Mytilus edulis: one gene and its partner. The protein of the gene in region 2 purifies or fractionates together with the protein of the main gene of each other region. This does not show direct contact. Links are inferred from orthologs where the notes say so. Each region holds a gene or a part of one and is shown on either strand. Other genes may lie near its edges.

What was found. The genes of interacting proteins can lie anywhere in the genome.
Region 1: the proteins of sorting nexin-8-like (region 2) and F-box/WD repeat-containing protein 7-like purify together in Homo sapiens (affinity purification with mass spectrometry; 3 studies listed by BioGRID and IntAct, counting the BioPlex papers as one, with this or other methods). This does not show direct contact. The link is inferred for Mytilus edulis from reciprocal best matches to the Homo sapiens genes SNX8 and FBXW7.

The regions. Positions count from the first base shown.
Region 1 is NC_092351.1:67,279,831-67,290,509, reverse strand, and holds the start of F-box/WD repeat-containing protein 7-like, read right to left. Parts: upstream 4,620-10,679; 5' UTR 4,530-4,619; intron 2,159-4,529; 5' UTR 2,134-2,158; coding exon 2,029-2,133; intron 1,284-2,028; coding exon 1,165-1,283; intron 554-1,164; coding exon 289-553; intron 1-288. UniProt on the Homo sapiens protein: Substrate recognition component of a SCF (SKP1-CUL1-F-box protein) E3 ubiquitin-protein ligase complex which mediates the ubiquitination and subsequent proteasomal degradation of target proteins.
Region 2 is NC_092352.1:67,332,175-67,342,907, forward strand, and holds the start of sorting nexin-8-like, read right to left. Parts: upstream 4,086-10,733; 5' UTR 3,997-4,085; coding exon 3,966-3,996; intron 3,863-3,965; coding exon 3,738-3,862; intron 1,621-3,737; coding exon 1,488-1,620; intron 1-1,487. UniProt on the Homo sapiens protein: May be involved in several stages of intracellular trafficking. May play a role in intracellular protein transport from early endosomes to the trans-Golgi network.

The sequences.
Region 1 (10,679 bases), on a different chromosome or scaffold from region 2:
TTTAAGTTTTGTTTTCCTTTCTGATGGTTCTTTTACAGAAAATTAAGCCCAAATCATTAATTAATCTGTGCATTAAAACATATCTTATTTATGAGAATTTTAAACTATATTGTCACACACAAATAATTGAAGGCACTTAATGAGATACTATTGGTGGTGGTCTTTGAAGAAAGATAGTTTGAACAGAAATTATCATCTAATGAGGGAGGATAAAACAATGACAAATTCAAGTTCCATAACAGCCCTAAGATAAGATGGTTTACAGACAATAATTTGTAAGATGCTAACCACATGGCTACTGAAGAGTCCATTGACTGGTATAGGAATCCTAGATTTATGTTGAGCATTAGACCTGTCTTCTTCACGGAACATAACCTCATCGCCAGACTCTTCCTCTGACATGTGACCTTCGTGGGATACAATACTGTTACCATCATCAACATGTTCCTCTGTTGATTTGAACAGTGCTCGTTGATTGTGTCTGATAGATCTGGCTGATAACCCACTAGATGATGGCTGTTCCTTACAAACATTATCTTTTACTTTAGGTGTCCTGAAAAAATAAGTTGAATAATCATACATCATATTTAATGAACAAAACATAAAAGTACCATTTTTTTTTTAAACATGCATTTTTTACATGGCATGCAAGTTTATTTATAATACATGCCACATTCCTTTTGAACTAAAAATTTGAAAAAAAAGCCCAACAACTGAAAGTTTCATTTTTTTTAAATGTTCAAAATAAAAGTAAGAAACTTTTATTGAATTATTTTCAATTACATACAATGTTATGTAACCTGACAAATATTTCACTCATACCTGCCAAACCTACCATTTTGATTGGGAAGCACTTGCACAAAATCATGAATTGAAGAGATAAAGTATACTTTTTAAATGTTATTGGTGCTTTGTAGATGAATATGTTAACCGGTTATATATCTAACTTCGAAATGTTGTATGTTGTAAGTGCAAAATCTCCCTCTTTTTCATAAAAAAAATAATATACATGCATTGTCAGAAAATATCAAATGTAAAATTTGTACTTGTTATGAGACAGTTAAAAATACAACCCATGCTTTTCCTCCAGTTTCAAAAGCTTATCCAATTATAGATTTAGTATTTTGTACAATGTAGTATACTGTATTTAAGTATATAAATTACCTGACAGCTTTGCGTTTGCGGTTACTACATGTCAACTGAGTACGACTTTGTTCCACAATACAATCCCCAACTCCTGGGACACTACTCAAATCCTTTACGGTTGAGAAACCTCCAAATGACTGCAATAAATTATATGGCAAATCTTTAAAAATGTACTGTGCCAAATAGGTTACTTTGAAGTATACAATTAATAGAATTGTAAATTATTTCAGCTGAAAAAATTTCAGAAAAAAGGTATCAAAATTCAGGTTACTCAAATTCCAAAGCTGTTGTTCTTAGACTCATTCCAATCTTAAAATTCTTTGATCTGTTTTAAAACCTATGATTTGCACTTGTTGCTTGCCCCCTTTCTCTCAATCTACAAGTATGTATGTATGTATGTTAAGTTTCATTTGTTTTGAATCTATAAGCTAGAAAGCAAAGAGCCTAAAGTTTGATGTGCCGATCTGCATACATGTATATAAACAATGGGGTCTGTTGTAGTTTGCAATGTGTTTTGAGATTTGATCATTATTGAAGGTCATACAATGACCATTTGTTGCTTCCTTTGACGTCATTTGGTTTGACTGTCACAGGTGGAGTTTTTTTCATTGGCAATCATACATGTACCACATCTTTTTATATAGACAGTTTTATATAACTAAAAGCCAATTAAAGTGCATACCTATTTGAATTTGTAGTAAAATTACAAATGAAACAAATTTGTAAAGTGTACACAACTGTAAGACACTGTTAGGCCCTCAACAATGAGTAAAACAAAAACTGTATAATAAGAAGCTATAGTGCCCAGGCTTGACAATATGTAAATACTTTTAATGTCCACTTTTCAAGAAATTTAAAATAATGACCATGAGAAAAACTGACCTTCCTGTATTTGATGATAGCTTTTGCTTTTCTTAAACCAATACCATTTACTTTTTCAAAGTCTTCTACACTAGCCTTGTTGATATCTATTTTCTTGCTTGCCATTATCACAGCCAATCATCTTTATTTTCTGTAAAACATTATCAATATCATGAATGTAAAGTTAGGTCGTCAGCATGCAATACATAATTTGTAATAATAAATATGATGTCGGAAAAACAAGCACATATTGTATATAATTAAAGCACCAGATCATATTTGTACCTTTTTTGAGGGAAATTGTGATGTCATGGTGCATTCTCAATAGCACTAAAACCCATGATACAAGATACATTTGTACATCACTTTAAGGCCAGTCATGTCAATGTTTTTATCAATTTCAAAGGATTAGGATTTATACTTCACATGTACTTCACAATAGAAACAAAGTATAGGAATCATGTATTAATTTATCAAAAAGATCAATGTTCATCGACAGTCATCCAGTGTATACCAGAATTATGAAGACATACTAAATGTTACTTATCCTATGAGGAGAAAAAAAACACCAAAAAATGTCATCAAAAATGTTATCTTGTGTGAATTCTGTTATTGTTTCATGACCTGTTAAAAGTCTCCTCATTTACTTGTACCCTATCTCTTCTTTATTCACATAACTGACCTCCTGAACACTGTAACACCTTCTGTAAGGCTGTTTGCTAGCAACTGAATACTGTATAGAACCATCAAAATAGAAAAAAGACCACAAACTTAGAACTACAAGAAGATTGATAAACAACTGGGGAATGCGATTTCAATTATTTAATGGAAAAAAATGTTACATTGTTATATATGCTTTAAAAACAAAAGCTAGAGATTTAATATGCTAAATGGACACATTCTCCAACAACTCACACCTAGGAAAACAAATATCAGAAGATCTGAAGTAAAGCACACACAAAAAGTCATAATAACTGTTGCAAATAAGGCAAATTCAACCCTAAGTTTTCTGAGAAGGAACCTAAGGTACATTTACATGTACTGTCCGCATGAATGGTAAGAACTGGTACAAGGGCTGTATAGCCAGTCAAGGTCGTTAAAAACTTTCATTTGTTTGGTAAGAAAACTGCTAACATTTCACAAGTACACTCAACAATGGAAGATGCAGCAACAGCATAGCATGAACAGCCACAAACAAGCTAGAAAGGTTCAAAATATTTAATAACTTAAGACAAGAAAAGATGGATGCATAACAAAATCCTTGTCAAACTTACAAATTACAAAAACTACAGCATACATTTAGATGCACATACAAAAAGCTTATATTTGGGTACACAGTGGTTGAGGGGCAGGTTCCTGCTATTGATCCAGACTAAAACTAACAAGAATGTGTCCCAAGTACACAGATGCCCCACTCGCACTATCATTTTCCATGTTCCAAGGACTTTGAAATTGGGTAAATATATAATTTGGTATTAAAATTAGAAAGATTATACTATAGGGAACATGTGTACTAAGTTTCAAGTTAACCTGAAGCGGGAAGAACGAACGAACGGATGAACGAAAGGGGCCACAGATCAGAAAACATAATGCCCCTCTACTATCGTAGGTGGGGCATAAAAATTAGCTAGATAAAACCATGTATCATATGTACTAGTCCAAATAATTATGACGTCTGGCAAGGCTATTTTTAATTTTTTTCTGGGACGCCTTCCTACAACGAAGGCGTCCCAGAAAAAAATTAAAATAGCCTTGCCAGACGTCATAATTATTTGGACTACATATGTACCAACTCTCTTTGTGTCCACAAATTATAATCAACTAGTACCATCTAGAACTAGTTGTGCGCACAACAAGCATTGACAAGTGCAAGTCTTTTTATTAAGAGCATTTAATCTGCCCACACAAACTGACACCTACAACTCATTGTATAAAAGCCAGTACTTGTTATTATGACCTGAACATGTACAGATATTTCTTTCAGTCATGACTTTTCTTTGTCCTTAAATGTACATGATGTAAGTTGATTTTCCCATTGGTATATTTCTCCCCCTACATGTAGATTAGCAGGATTAGAAAGATATGCTTTAAGTTAGAAGGAATTAAATAAATGGGTAGAGACTGTGGTTAACGTAAAGTTTATTGAACCATCACGGTATGGTGTCTTGTTTTCTTTGAAGTTCAACAACGAATCAATACCTTCAAAAAGGCAACCTTTATACTTATTGTATTTCATGTAGTTAGTATACTCGACTGTCTGTGTAATACAATATAAAACATTGCTTAAAACAAATCATAATTTGATTTCTGATCATCTTAGTTTTCCCTAGATTAAGTTGATAACCACGCGATCAATGTCAAGAAAAATATCTAAAATCGAACAAAAAAGGGTCGTGGCCGCGTAACATTAATCAGCTGTTTGATTGCCATGCAAATCCGACAGAGAAACTGGATCTAGCAAAGAAACGTGAAACTATATGCTTTAATATTGATACTGTGGCATAGCAAGGCCGTTGTCCTACCTGAAATGGGGGCGATTTGTAGTGTTTACGTAGGAGAACTTTATCCGTTCCATCGCCATATTTATTTATCGATGATAGACGGAGAGTGACGAAAATAGCCGAATCTGAAAATAGGTCTATAAACCAAAAAGAACTTGACAACGTACCTACTCGAACACTTGATATATGTGTACACGAATTTAGATGTACTAAAGTCTATACAAATCTTTGATGTTCAGTTGTAAATATTGTGGCAAGCAAATAATTAATAAGAATAATAAAAAAATATCACATCTTCACTTTTTTTTTCAGTAAATCATGAACTTGTGACATACGTTAGCAATAAAGATATTATATACTTAATAAAAAAATACAAATAAATATGTTGTAGAGTAGGCATGGTCAACAAAACACAGGCATAAGATAAGCTCTACAGCCATAGTGTCTGTGTCTACAGCGCTTTTAAATTACATGAAGGATTTGTATATCCTTGATTATCATTACATAAATAAGACGCAACAGAAAGAAAGCAACACGTTATTAATGAGATAATTAAATAAAGATAAAATATTTTTTATTCCAATTAAAGGGACCACGAAGAGCAAAGTAATTTATTACAATGATTTTTATAACTGACACAATAATGCTGATATAAATCATATATAAATATGAATCTCAATTCTTAGATGTTAAACCACAGCCAGATCAGAGCCACACACATATTAGAGAAAAAAGGCATAACAATTATATCTATTATTAATTGAAACGAACACATAAGCAATATAGCCTTCTATGATGTATATAATTTAACTTTATTTAAGTTTTCCTTTTTAACTATTTTGGTGTTTTAAACAATTTTTTTACATAATATATTTGACATAAATATAGATATATATATAATTTATAAACTTTATTGAAAAGCACTTTACGCCCATATGGGCCAACACAGCTTGTAAATAGCCAACGAGAAGAGTTTTATTACATTGATGTAAAATGAAATAAGAAGATGTGGTACGAGTGCCATTGAGACAACTCTACATCCAAGTCTTTCAAAATGTGTAAAAAGTAAAACTAGTATAGGTCAAAGTAAGGCTTTCAACGCGGAGCCTTGACTCACATTGAACAGCAAGCTATATAGGACCCTAGAATGACTAGTTTAAAACAATTCAAACAGAAAAAACCAAGGATCTACTCTATATAAAAATTGAAAATGAGAAACAAGAAACAATCACGAACCACATTAACAAAAGACAACCACTGAACAGATTCTTGAAGTTCAACTGGTGCAAACGAATGCAGCAGGTTTAAACGTTTTAACAGACACCAAACTTCACCCTAACCCGAAATATTAGTGTAACAGAACAACATAGAAAGACACACTATAAAATATCAATTGAAAGGGTTTGACTCAAACAAAAAGACTTATTAACAAAAAAAAAACAAGTAAACATACACATGCCTGCTACTCTAGCTCATATTTCCATTTAATTAAGGTCAGTTTGGACACAGCCTTAGTCACAGAGTTAGTTTTTGTACATGCCTGTTACTCTTTCTTATATTTCCATTGAGTTAGTGAGTGTGAACACATCATAGTCATAAGGTTAGTTTCGTTTCTATGATGTACATGCCCGTTAGTCTTGAAAATATCTCCATCAAGTTGAGCTCAAAGTGAACACAGCTTTAGTCAAGGCGTAAGTTTTGTTACATTGATGTACATGCATGCCTGTTACTCTTGCTCTTATTTCCATTGAGTTAAGGTCAATGGGAAAACAGCCTTAGACATAAAGTTAGTTTGGTACATTGACGTACAAGACACTTACTCTTGCTCATATTTCCATTGAGTTAAGGTCAATGTGAACACAGTCTTAGACATAAAGTTAGTTTGGTACATTGATGTACAAGACAGTTACTCTTGCTCATAGTTCCATTGAGTTAAGGTCAATGTGAACACAGCCTTAGACATAAAGTTAGTTTGGTACATTGACGTACAAGACAGTTACTCTTGCTCATATTTCCATTGAGTTAAGGTCAATGTGAACACAGCCTTAGACATAAAGTTAGTTTGGTACATTGACGTACAAGACAGTTACTCTTGCTCATATTTCCATTGAGTTAAGGTCAATGTGAATACAGTCTTAGACATAAAGTTAGTTTGGTACATTGACGTACAAGACAGTTAATCTTGCTCATATTTCCATTGAGTTAAGGTCAATGTGAACACAGCCTTAGACATAAAGTAAGTTTGGTACATTGACGTACAAGACAGTTACTCTTGCTCATAGTTCCATTGAGTTAAGTTCAATGTGAACACAGCCTTAGACATAAAGTTAGTTTGGTACATTGACGTACAAGACAGTTAATCTTGCTCATATTTCCATTGAGTTAAGGTCAATGTGAACACAGTCTTAGTCAAACAGTTAGTTTGGTACATTGACGTACAAGACAGTTACTCTTGCTCATATTTCCATTGAGTTAAGGTCAATGTGAACACAGCCTTAGACATAAAGTTAATTTGGTACATTGATGTACAAGACAGTTACTCTTGCTCATAGTTCCATTGAGTTAAGGTCAATGTGAACACAGTCTTAGTCAAACAGTTAGTTTGGTACATTGACGTACAAGACAGTTACTCTTGCTCATATTTCCATTGAGTTAAGGTCAATGTGAACACAGCCTTAGACATAAAGTTAATTTGGTACATTGATGTACAAGACAGTTACTCTTGCTCATAGTTCCATTGAGTTAAGGTCAATGTGAACACAGTCTTAGTCAAACAGTTAGTTTGGTACATTGACGTACAAGACAGTTACTCTTGCTCATATTTCCATTGAGTTAAGGTCAATGGGAACACAGCCTTAGACATAAAGTTAGTTTGGTACATTGACGCACAAGACAGTTACTCTTGCTCATATTTCCATTGAGTTAAGGTCAATGGGAACACAGCCTTAGACATAAAGTTAGTTTGGTACATTGACGCACAAGACAGTTACTCTTGCTCATATTTCCATTGAGTTAAGGTCAATGTGAACACAGCCTTAGACATAAAGTTAGTTTGGTACATTGACGTACAAGACAGTTACTCATGCTCATATTTCCATTGAGTTAAGGTCAATGGGAACACAGCCTTAGACATAAAGTTAGTTTGGTACATTGATGTACAAGACACTTACTCTTGCTCATATTTCCATTGAGTTAAGGTCAATGTGAACACAGCCTTAGACATAAAGTTAGTTTGGTACATTGATGTACAAGACACTTACTCTTGCTCATATTTCCATTGAGTTAAGGTCAATGTGAACACAGCCTTAGACATAAAGTTAGTTTGGTACATTGACGTACAAGACAGTTACTCATGCTCATATTTCCATTGAGTTAAGGTCAATGGGAACACAGCCTTAGACATAAAGTTAGTTTGGTACATTGACGCACAAGACAGTTACTCTTGCTCATATTTCCATTGAGTTAAGGTCAATGGGAACACAGCCTTAGACATAAAGTTAGTTTGGTACATTGACGCACAAGACAGTTACTCTTGCTCATATTTCCATTGAGTTAAGGTCAATGTGAAAACAGCCTTAGACATAAAGTTAGTTTGGTACATTGACGTACAAGACAGTTACTCATGCTCATATTTCCATTGAGTTAAGGTCAATGGGAACACAGCCTTAGACATAAAGTTAGTTTGGTACATTGATGTACAAGACACTTACTCTTGCTCATATTTCCATTGAGTTAAGGTCAATGTGAACACAGCCTTAGACATAAAGTTAGTTTGGTACATTGACGTACAAGACAGTTACTCTTGCTCATATTTCCATTGAATTAAGGTCAATAGGAACACAGCCTTAGACATAAAGTTAGTTTGGTACATTGACGTACAAGACACTTACTCTTGCTCATATTTCCATTGAGTTAAGGTCAATGTGAACACAGCCTTAGACATAAAGTTAGTTTGGTACATTGACGTACAAGACACTTACTCTTGCTCATAGTTCCATTGAGTTAAGGTCAATGTGAACACAGTCTTAGTCAAACAGTTAGTTTGATACATTGACGTACAAGACAGTTAATCTTGCTCATATTTCCATTGAGTTAAGGTCAATGTGAACACAGCCTTAGTCAAACAGTTAGTTTGGTACATTGACGTACAAGACACTTACTCTTGCTCATATTTCCATTGAGTTAAGGTCAATGTGAACACAGCCTTAGACATAAAGTTAGTTTGGTACATTGACGTACAAGACAGTTAATCTTGCTCATATTTCCATTGAGTTAAGGTCAATGTGAACACAGCCTTAGACATAAAGTAAGTTTGGTACATTGACGTACAAGACAGTTACTCTTGCTCATAGTTCCATTGAGTTAAGTTCAATGTGAACACAGCCTTAGACATAAAGTTAGTTTGGTACATTGACGCACAGGACATTTACTCTTGCTCATAGTTCCATTGAGTTAAGGTCAATGTGAACACAGCCTTAGACATAAAGTTAGTTTGGTACATAGACATACAAGACAGTTACTCTTGCTCATATTTCCATTGAGTTAAGGTCAATGTGAACACAGCCTTAGTCAAACAGTTAGTTTGGTACATTGACGTACAAGACAGTTACTCATGCTCATATTTCCATTGAGTTAAGGTCAATGTGAACACAGTCTTAGTCAAACAGTTAGTTTGGTACATTGACGTACAAGACAGTTACTCTTGCTCATATTTCCATTCAGTTAAGATCAATGTGAACACAGCCTTAGTCAAACAGTTAGTTTGGTACATTGACGTACAAGACAGTTACTCTTGCTCATATTTCCATTGAGTTAAGGTCAATGTGAACACAGCCTTAGACATAAAGTTAATTTGGTACATTGATGTACAAGACAGTTACTCTTGCTCATAGTTCCATTGAGTTAAGGTCAATGTGAACACAGTCTTAGTCAAACAGTTAGTTTGGTACATTGACGTACAAGACAGTTACTCTTGCTCATATTTCCATTGAGTTAAGGTCAATGGGAACACAGCCTTAGACATAAAGTTAGTTTGGTACATTGACGCACAAGACAGTTACTCTTGCTCATATTTCCATTGAGTTAAGGTCAATGGGAACACAGCCTTAGACATAAAGTTAGTTTGGTACATTGACGTACAAGACAGTTACTCATGCTCATATTTCCATTGAGTTAAGGTCAATGTGAACACAGCCTTAGACATAAAGTTAGTTTGGTACATTGACGCACAAGACAGTTACTCTTGCTCATATTTCCATTGAGTTAAGGTCAATGTGAACACAGCCTTAGACATAAAGTTAGTTTGGTACATTGACGTACAAGACAGTTACTCATGCTCATATTTCCATTGAGTTAAGGTCAATGGGAACACAGCCTTAGACATAAAGTTAGTTTGGTACATTGATGTACAAGACACTTACTCTTGCTCATATTTCCATTGAGTTAAGGTCAATGTGAACACAGCCTTAGACATAAAGTTAGTTTGGTACATTGACGTACAAGACAGTTACTCTTGCTCATATTTCCATTGAGTTAAGGTCAATGTGAACACAGTCTTAGTCAAACAGTTAGTTTGGTACATTGACGTACAAGACAGTTACTCTTGCTCATATTTCCATTGAGTTAAGGTCAATGGGAACACAGCCTTAGACATAAAGTTAGTTTGGTACATTGACGCACAAGACAGTTACTCTTGCTCATATTTCCATTGAGTTAAGGTCAATGGGAACACAGCCTTAGACATAAAGTTAGTTTGGTACATTGACGCACAAGACAGTTACTCTTGCTCATATTTCCATTGAGTTAAGGTCAATGTGAACACAGTCTTAGTCAAACAGTTAGTTTGGTACATTGACGTACAAGACAGTTACTCTTGCTCATATTTCCATTGAGTTAAGGTCAATGGGAACACAGCCTTAGACATAAAGTTAGTTTGGTACATTGACGTACAAGACAGTTAATCTTGCTCATATTTCCATTGAGTTAAGGTCAATAGGAACACAGCCTTAGACATAAAGTTAGTTTGGTACATTGACGTACAAGACACTTACTCTTGCTCATATTTCCATTGAGTTAAGGTCAATGTGAACACAGCCTTAGACATAAAGTTAGTTTGGTACATTGACGTACAAGACACTTACTCTTGCTCTTATTTCCATTGAGTTAAGGTCA
Region 2 (10,733 bases):
AATCATTATTTAAATTATAGAAGACAATTACTTTTTTTTTTTAAATAAAATAGTATTAGTACTAGTCAGTTTCACTTGATCTCAGATCTTCATTAACTGGTCACATTTAATTATTAGTTGAGAAGAAAAATAAAGAAACTGAAGAAGGCCAATGGCAGAAATGTCTTGAAAATTGGTTCAATACAAATGTACTACAATTACAATTAACTATGTAAAATTGTCTTGCTTTCAAGTTCCTTTTATAACATCATGAAAAAGGCGACCATACTTGAACGAGAGATACCATCTTTTTGTAGCACATTGGAAAAGTAGGATTTAAGTTTGTCTTCCTATATCATGTATATATCTTGTAAAAATCATAAGAGGTTCTTCATAAAATGTCTGCAATACTTTTAGCTTGATGTCTATATTTAAAAGTCTTAAATTTATACATGTAATATGCGCAAAGTAAAAATGTAAATAAAAGGTCAACTGGGTGTGTTTCCTTGATATAAACCAGATAAATAGTCTGATTTTACCCAACTACTTAGAAGATCACTGAAGGCTAAAGGTATCTAATAGGAAGTTCCACATGTTTTTTTTTAACAAATTTAACTCATGACTCATGTAGTGTCTTATATTACCAGATACTGCACAATGCAAACCATGCAAACTGTATATTTTAAATCATTGATTTTCAAATCAAGGTTTTTGGTGTGAACAGTTTATAAGATTGTCATTTGTGAGTCAACTTCTTAAATAAATGATTTCTAAGAAAGCAGATAAATCAGTATCAGTATCATAAACTCTTTTGAATAAAAATCTGGGGAGGGGGGAGGGTGTTGGTCAGTCATTAACCTTTCAGGATAACTTCATTTTTGAACTTACCTCAACTTTTATCATAATATATTTTGTGAAACATAATAATCACTGTGAAAGAGCTCTTTTTCTACAATAATGGAAACAAAATATTACATGTACATGTATTTAGGGACGACATCAAAAGTTCAATGTAGGATTAAAAACTTAATTCAGATAGTTTTTTCACTGACCCCCCCCCACCCCCCCTCTTAACTTAATTTGGGAAAAATTGATTTACCAATAGGGATATATGTAAAAATCGATTTTAGATTTACAAAACTTTGTAGAATTTTAACCCCCACCCCCAAACTATTTGATTTAAGTTTTTTATCCTACATCAATCTTTTGATGTCGTCCCTTACCCCAAGATCACATGAACATGTTGAAGTAAAACCATGAAGAATACAGCATTTTTCTATTGATCAATACCTTTGGTTTTAGTGAAGTTCATCCTTGCATTTAGCACATAGCAAATTTTTAAGCAATGCTTAACCAAAACGTGTTTGAAACATACATCATGTACATAGATATAGGAAGATATGGTATGAGTGCCAATGAGACAACTCTCCATCCAAATAACAATTTATAAAAGTAACATGTATGAATTGTTCTAATAAAACTTATTTAAACAACATAAACAAGCTTACCTTGACCAGCATAGCTTTCCAGTAGTTTATCATGTATCGTTTTTCCATTCTGAGCAAGAGCTGTAAGGGCCAAAGCTTTGTACAATCCATTTCTATTTACAAATCCTGATTTATTGTCAACTGCATCCCATATCTGAAGAATGGATACAAAAACCTTAGATGTGATTATACACAACTAGTTATTTGAGGCATATCACAAGTTATAACACATGTGTTAATTTGCATAATTTTTCACAAAACAACATGCATCTGACCACATTTGAAATGAACAAGGTTATGCTGCAAAATTTAAATTGACATGTTACAAACTGGCATGACTGGTGTTGATTCATGACATAACAACAGTACAATGTACATGGGTATGTGTCCTTAAAACACAATACTTTGCTAACACTGAGTTATTTCCATGTTCATTGAACTGTAAGGCATCTTTCAAAACCCAATTTACTTTAGCATACATTTACAATGTATCATGTTTATTAATCAAATATTTTACTCCATAATGAACATATGATCTACATATTGTTATGCATGTATGTACAAAGTACCATGTGGACCATTAATTGTTAACAGGGTATAAAAACAGAAATATCAAACTTAACATGAAGAAACCAGAGGGACAGCATTAACAGTCTTGTCGGAATAGACCACTTTCAAGCTCATTACAATTCTGTCAAAAACTTTAATTTTACAAGTGAACATCATTTGTTTGTTTATTATGCTAGCTACAAAAAAACAATGTAGGCATCTTTACTTCAACTGTAAGGCATCTTTCAAAACCCAATTTACTTTAGCATACAGTTATCATGTTTATAATCAAATATTTTACTCCATAATGAACATATGATCTACATATTGTTATGCATGTATGTACATGTACAAAGTAACATGTGTACGATTAATTGTTACGAGGTATAAAAACAGAAATTTCAAACTTGACATGTAGAAACCAGAGGGACAGCATTAACAGTATTGTCTGAATAGACCACTTTCAAGCTCATTGCAATTCTATCAAAAACTTTAATTCAAGTGAACATCAATTGTTTGTTTATAGCTAGCTAGGCATCTTCACTTCAAATGTTGAGCAAATTTCAGGGACCAAATTTTCGGCTCTCCCTTGACAGCAATTTGCGAGTATGGTCTTGGAAAACAGTTATTGTCCATCGGAAGGGGACGATAAATGGCTGACCTGTGTTAAGAGAGAGCCATATCTCTTGCAGTTTAAAGACACCCTTGTAGATTTCGAAAAAGAGCAGGCTAATGCCGCTACAAGGCAGCACTCGCACCCGCAAAGTGGAAAGGGGTTAATATAAGTTGCACAAACTTGTTTCCCAATCCACTATAAATAAATATGTTTAAACTAAATGTTGAGCAATTGATTTAAAAATATGATTCTATATTGCGTGAATTTTTCAGCAAATAAAATTCTTGTAATCGACAACCAGCAGTGCTGTAATTAGGGAATTGTAATAATGTACCTACACAACAAACAGTATATCTTGTTCATCCTGCATATTGAAAATTGCTTAGACACTTGATAAACTTTATTGCTGTAGGTATATCATACAAGGCATACAGGCATACAGGAAACCCCCTTTACCTGGTACATGAATTCAGAAAGGTGTGCATAATTGATGAACTTTTCTGGTGACTAGTATAGGACATAATTCGAAAGTGGTCTATTGGATCAAACAAAACATTTTTTTAAAATGAAATCAAAGTTTTTGTCTGAATATAAACATGATAAACATAATAAACAATGTTACATGATAAAGCTTGTTTACCATTTTACACAACACATCTGTTATTAGCATGAAGTGCAAGGTGATGGAACAATTCTAATTGGTCATGAACAGTTGTAGATAACTTTCAAAAGGTTGTGATACATTTTGTACATATGCAATTGTACATGTACATGTATAAATATCTAAAAGTAAAAACCTAAAATAAATAACATTTTAATAAACATGATAAATGCCTAGATGTAATGCCATAACAACATTAACATGTAAACTCTATGTTTTTATTAATAATTTGCCTTATTTACCTGATGTAAACAATCAGGTGACTATCTACATGTCCAGTACCTAATTAGTAGAGGGGAGTTTCCGGTGTTGACAAAATTAATTAAAGTTGTTCATTTACAGAACATGTGCTTTCTGCAAGGCAATTGTAGTATCAATCAAAATATTTAAAATATTACAGCATTAATATAAATATATAATGGTATAAAATTATTTCAATATTTACTTGAGTAATTGTCGCTCTTGGTAAACTTGATTTCAGTAAAAGGTTGACCAGCAGATCTTCGTCAACCTGTTCTTGGTTAGGACATAAAATCTCGTACACCTCTCGATAAAATGGCGGTACGGACCCTAAGAACGAAAAAGAAAATTGTTAATTTCATTTAAAATCAATTACTTTCTCCAAAAGATGAGCATAAACATAGATCTGTTATGCAACAAGTTAAAAACTTACCGAACGTTAGATCTGCCGACATTTTGTCCATCTAAAAATAGTAATCATGTGACCCTCCTCCCACTATTGAAAATAAAGACAGGTGCGAATCGTAAATTGGCTTTCTCATGAATGTTTTCTTGTTTCTGTTATAAATATCAGAGTGACTGGGTTTATAGTGTAATATAATTTTGTTTATCAATGTTTTTCAAATCTTAACATAACAATCGTCAATCTACGACGTTACTAAATACCATTTTGGTTTAATTTTCATAGAACACGAGTTTACGTAGTATCATGTATTTATAAAGCTGAAATAAGCCGTCAAGGCGGTCCTACGAACAAGCGCCCGGGAGAATAAAATGAAAATATGTTAAAACAAATATAAACAAGAGTATATAGAAGAATCATGAACGATATCGTCCTCGATCAAAACGTATATTTCGTTATTTTAAAAAAATCAGTTACCGAGGTCTAATATTCGCAACTGCATGGTGAACATTCTTCAAAGTTTTGTATTTTATTAAACACACTTGAATTGACATTAGAAGATAGTGGAAGAGTTTCAACATGCTTGTAACTAAGAAAAGTTAAACCCACTGTTAAAGCAAATATGATATTCCGGCCTTGTGGAATATGCCGTAAAAATTGTAAAAAATATTTTTTTTTTAAATCAAAACTGTTTAAACCGCGTCTGTTTATGGGTGATTCAATTTTATTTGTTTTATACCAAATACCTGCTTTTAACATGCATAGTATAATTGCTTTATTTGCCGATGCTGATATACATGTGCGTGTCACTTTTATCGTTCTTAAATAATGTGTAACTCTTTTAATTTTATAAATTAATATGTATCTGTGAAATTTTTAAAAAAGTTGTTTTGACACTTTCAGCAGTCATTTTGTTATCGTTTTTGAAAAAAAAACATATCTTTTGATGTCTATAATATTTTATAAATCTTCAGCATAAGCTGTGATCCATTATTATCTATCTTTTGAAATACTATTCATATTGTTTAATTTGAAACAGTCATATTCTTTTTTTGTGCTTTATTAAAAATGTCTATTATCTGAATTTGCAAAATACTTGTCTAAAATTTAAAAAAAACATCAATGTTCATAACTTATTTCATCGACGCAAAGTTGTCTCATGCCTATATGATTTCTATTTATTTTCCCTAGGCGCATTTTCTTTGCCCCGGGAGTTTTTCTCTCTCCCCCGAGTTATTGAACAAAGTGGTCGAATTTATTTTGCGGAAAATTATGACAAAAAGTCGACACTTAAATTCGGAGATGAGAATTAAGTATTCAAATATCAGCAAAGGTATTCTCAATTTTAAGCAGACCGTCTTTGAATTTTTAGTTCTGATATCGATTATTGAATATTCTGTCAAAAAATCGAATTTTGAAATAATAAAAAAAACACTCTGTAAATATTAGATCAATTGGGCAATCATTTACCTTGGTACAGTGTATCCAAATTCATTATATTTTGAACATACATGCATCTTTTCTTTTGTTGACAAGTATATATATGGCTCACATTAACAGGGCTCAATTTTCAAATCCATCAATTATCTGCCTAAAATGGAGCATGGACGCATTGGTCAATCTACTCGGCTTTTAATCACTGAAATGGCTTTGAAGAAAATCGGACCTTAAAAACATATATTTCATAAATAGTGGTACGATCGTTGGCAAATATATGTATATTTTGTAAGAGAATCAGATTAGTTTGTTTTGCAAATATGAGAAAAATTAAGACTCCCGCCGCGAAACTGCAGTCTCAAACAGTTAAGTGTTTCTAATCCTGATCTGTGTGTAGAGAGCATGGCACTCACTCTCAAAGGAGTATGTTTCCGACCGAAGGCGTATATATTTATATATTCTGAGTGCAGAGTGCAGAATATATATATATATGAGAGCCCAGGTGGTCGTGTGGTCTAGCGGGACGGCTGCAGTGCAGGCGATTTGGTGTCACGATATCACAGTAGTATGGGTTCGAATCCCGGCGAGGGAAGAACCAAAAATCTGCGAAAGCAAATTTACAGATCTAACATTGTTGGGTTGATGTTTAGACGCGTTGTATATATATTCTGCACTCAGTCGGCAAACGAATAATTATAATATTCAAGATAAATCAATCAAAAAATGCAAAAATACCTTAAAATTACCTATTCAGGTGCGGCAAACCAAAAACGGGTTCTCTGATGCGTCTGAAAATTGTATAGTAGATAGATCTTGACCTGATGAACATTGTTATCCAATGTCAGATTTTCTTTAAATGCTTTAGTTTCAGATATATAAACCAAAAACTGCATTTTCCCCATGTTCTATTTTTAGCCATAGCGGCCATCTTGGTTGATGGTCGGGGTCATAGGATACATTTTTAAACTAAATACCCTTAGGATTATTTAGGGCAAATTTGGTTTTAATTGGCTCAGTAGTTTCAAAGAACACGGATGCCAAGTGATAAGAAAAGCTCATTTGGCCCTTTTGTGCAAGGTGTGCAAAAAATTAATGCACTCCTGTATTCCGATGATCAATCTCACATGTGAAATTTTGGCAGCTTTTAAGAGTAGGCATGCATACTTAAGAGTTCTCAGTGTGTATAATGTTACAAATGTTGTGCATGTCTCACAAATAAAAATATGTATTGTTTAGAGGTGCTGAACTGTACAACTATATGAAATGTAAAATTGTCCTATTGTTTGTCAGCGAATTTAGACATTTTGTTTCTCAATTGAAGTTAAAACATAATATTATTTGGTGATTTCATATTTTCAAAAGTGTATTCAAGTGAACATCACAACTGTTAGATATCAAGACATGTATACATAAAAATAAGTGACTTTTGAACTTTTAACAACGTAAGTTAATGACTTTTGAACTTTACAGTATTATGCATGATGTAGTGTTTGCCATGTTTGACCGTGTCTTAAAGCGGAAAAACCACTGTATCGTCGATTTTGCATGGTATCTGTCAACTTCCGAAGCAATGTTATCGACTCACCGGACATTTCCGAAGTCCTGCGTTTAATTGATTGCCGTGTTTATGAGCTTCGTTCCTTGCTTGGAAGTTGGGTATCTGTATATTTAAAATGTTACGGTTTCGCCGACACATAGCGCTTTGTCACAGTCGAGAAATTAATTTTATTTTTGGTTTTAACGGAGAATGTTTATTTACAGATTAAATATATAAAACATATATATTGGTGTTGTATTGTACAATTTTAAACGTATACAGTATTTTCTATATATTTTGTGCACAGTACAGTATATAGTTTTGTTTATAACAACCAACAAGTATCGTTACCATTGTTCTGTTTGTCATAACAAATACTACAAATGAATGTGTGTCATCTGTTGGTACAAATAATTTCTGTATTAATTTCCGGTTTTTCAAATGGACCGATTTTTTTTTTAATACAAGTGGACTTTTGAGTGTTAACAACAAATCCAGATCACGTTGCTTTCAAACTTCTAGCACACCCGATGGATGTTCAGGCAATACTCGTGAGCAAAAACATTAACTTGTGATCAGAGAGCCACCATTTATTTTGATGTTCTGGGTGTGTGTGTGGTCGTCGGGGCGAATCTTTATATTCATGATCATTTTTTTAAGGCTTATTGTATACATTAGAGTTCGTGTTCTGCATTTTGTGTTGCCGAATATTGCATTCTGTCCTTAATATGCAAAATTATTTATTTGTCAGGTCTTACAATTAAGTTATTCATTCCTCCCCTTCCCATAAACAATTAAATGGTATTAAATAAAATCTGTAAATTGTTATTACTATTTCAACTGCTTTTGTCCAGAAACTAGCTTTATCGTCGGGTTAAACACTGTCAGGGAGTGTACAATTTTATATATAGCATTTGAGTATCAAATTGGCTTCTTGACCTTTGAGCTGTTTGATAACCCGTTCCAAAATATATAACTGACTGACATTCAACGTCATGTAAAACTTGCATGCAACGGACCCTTATGACCGTGTTATAATAATTCTGTGACTTACTATTTGTCTTGTGTTTCATTTTTTTGCTTGACTTGCAGATACTATCCTTCGATCTTTACTTTATATTCTCGCGAATAAAAATGCAATAAAATTCTAGGAGTCAGAAAACCCGCATCTGTCATTTTTTGCCTTGTTGATTTGTATATTGCTGAATAAAATTTATTAATGCCAGTAATAATTATGACAATTGCCATAAGTGAATTGTGTTTAACCCTTCAGTGCCACCGTCATCTTGCCTTCGTTTAGCTTGGCCGTATATATTTAATTTTAATTTCCTGTCATTTAATAGGGGTTGCAATGCAATAGCGGTTATATCTAAATACTTTTATAGGATATAACGTTTACAGTAGATGTTCAATTCATTCAACTTATGATGCTATATATTTGGCAAGTTAATTGTATGAAAGGCGAATTCCGTCATTTGATTTCATATGGAATGAAGCAACCCATACCGTATGAAAACAACTACAAATCTCCGCCATACTATTTACCAAAACAGCTTTTTCAATTTCGCATTGTTGGTGTGCTGATCATGAGTGCAATCAATTATTCATAATAAACGCATTGTTCTTCGATTGAAAATATATTGCTAGTGAACAATAATAGTTGAACTACATGTACAAATGACATATAAAAAAAATGTTAATAATAAAACATGTACAATAATCATTGTAGACTCCCACAAGTTTGATAAATATTTCCCAAAACTATCATGACATGATATATAAGAAACCGTTCTAACACTGTCCGTTTATGAATTTCGAAATTATAAAGAAACTAAGCCGAGTAAAATGGATTATTCAGAAAATTGTGTCTACTATTTACAACGTTTTTTTTTTTTTTTTGGCAGCAAATGAAAAAAAAATAGTTTTGAGAGGTTCAACTTATCATTTTTTTAGAACCGAAGTCAGACAAATTATGATCTTATAAAAAATGCCATGTGGGATGGAACCATAATATGTATATGTTGTGTACAAGTTGTAATGTTGTACAAATTATAATTTGTACAGAATTTTTGTACAAGTTATCAGTGTTTTATGACCTGCTGAACAAAAATAGATGATGCAAGCACACAGTCTTTTAATCCGCATATTTCTGTCAATTTTTCACAACTTCATGATACAGTCTAATACTGAGCATTGATACAGAAACATTATAAGACCTCACAAAGATTTTGTATAGATATGAATATGGTATAAGGAAAAAAATAAAATTAGAATTTAAACCAGTCAGGTATCCTCATTTACAGTTTGAAGGCAAGGAGAATAGCACTAAATGTTAGGTTGACGTATGTTTTTTTGAATTTAAAACATTACACTGGTAAATTTTATAAGTTAAACCTGTATCACCTGTTGCAAGAAGGTAGGTGTCAAAAAACTTATAACTTGTACAAAAACCCTGTACAAATTATAATTTGTACAAACTTACATCTTGTACACAACATATATATTCATGACAAAAGAATAAGATCATACAAAAAAAAGAATAAAGCAGACAGTATTAACATTGTCAATTTAAGTTTTAGGTTTGAATTTAAAATTATTGTATTTGTAATATAAATTATCTAAAACGTCTTCCAAAAAAATTAAAGATGATTAATTGCTCATTGTCACTGTTTTTTCCCCCTGCAATGAATTAGACCCTTGGAGCGGAGTCGTACATTTGAAGAGCGTTTGGTATATGGACATATGGTCAAGAACTGTTATAGAAAATAAAAGAATCGATTGAAAGCATTACATCAGTATTAACACTGTAACGTGAAACAAGAGAGACATTAGGAACATATATTTTGTTGGCCGATCCGGTCTACATAAAATCTGTCTTGTACAGGCGGGTGACAATAACCAATTACAACAAATACCTAGTTAAGAAGAGTTTTACTGCTGAACAGAATGTCAAATATATTTTGTTTTGTTTCAAAGAAAAATTAAAACCATTTTTCCTAAATCAAAGTTGTTTTGTATTAATATTTGTAAAAACATTGCGTATTTCTTTCACAAAGTGCAAATGAAATACTGTAACCAAGGAAATAAATTTTAAAAAAAACAACACCCATAACCCGATGTATAGACTTCTGTGAAAAAATCAAAAAACATTTCATCAACGTGTTTTTGTGTTTTTGAAATTGTTATAATTGTTTTATACATGTATTTGTCAAAATCTTATAGTTTCATTTCACACGAATTACTTACATGTTCAACAAAACGAATTTTAACTTCAGTTCTTGCGTATCCATACTTATTGAGTAAATAGGAAGACTAGGTTTTTTTCAGTGATTTATTTTTTTCATTACTATTTTTTATTTATTTACTTGGTCAATTGCAAGCTCGCTCATGGATTCATTCATTCACAGTAGGAAAAAAATCACCTACTATTTTTTTTTTATTGACGCACTAAATTACCAAAGTTAAAAAAAGTAAAATAGAAAACTGCATCTTACCTTGCATAGGAAAAAAATAGTCCACACTAATTATTATAAGAAAATTAAAACTTTGAACCACAAGCTAGTAAAATTTTGTGTTGTTCAGTGCACTATAAGTTTTAATGGTACATTGTGAAATTGTATTTCTTATCAGTTATTGTTTTCTTTCAAACTTTAATATTTTCAAAATTAGAACAATATATATAAATAGGGGGAATCTTCTCAAATCATAGAACTTTTTATTTATTTTCTCAACTATTATCAACTGTTATCAAAATGTACCCTTTGAGTTATTCAACTTAGCTAAATATGGATAGAATTTTTCTAATTTTGAATATTTTTGAGTGT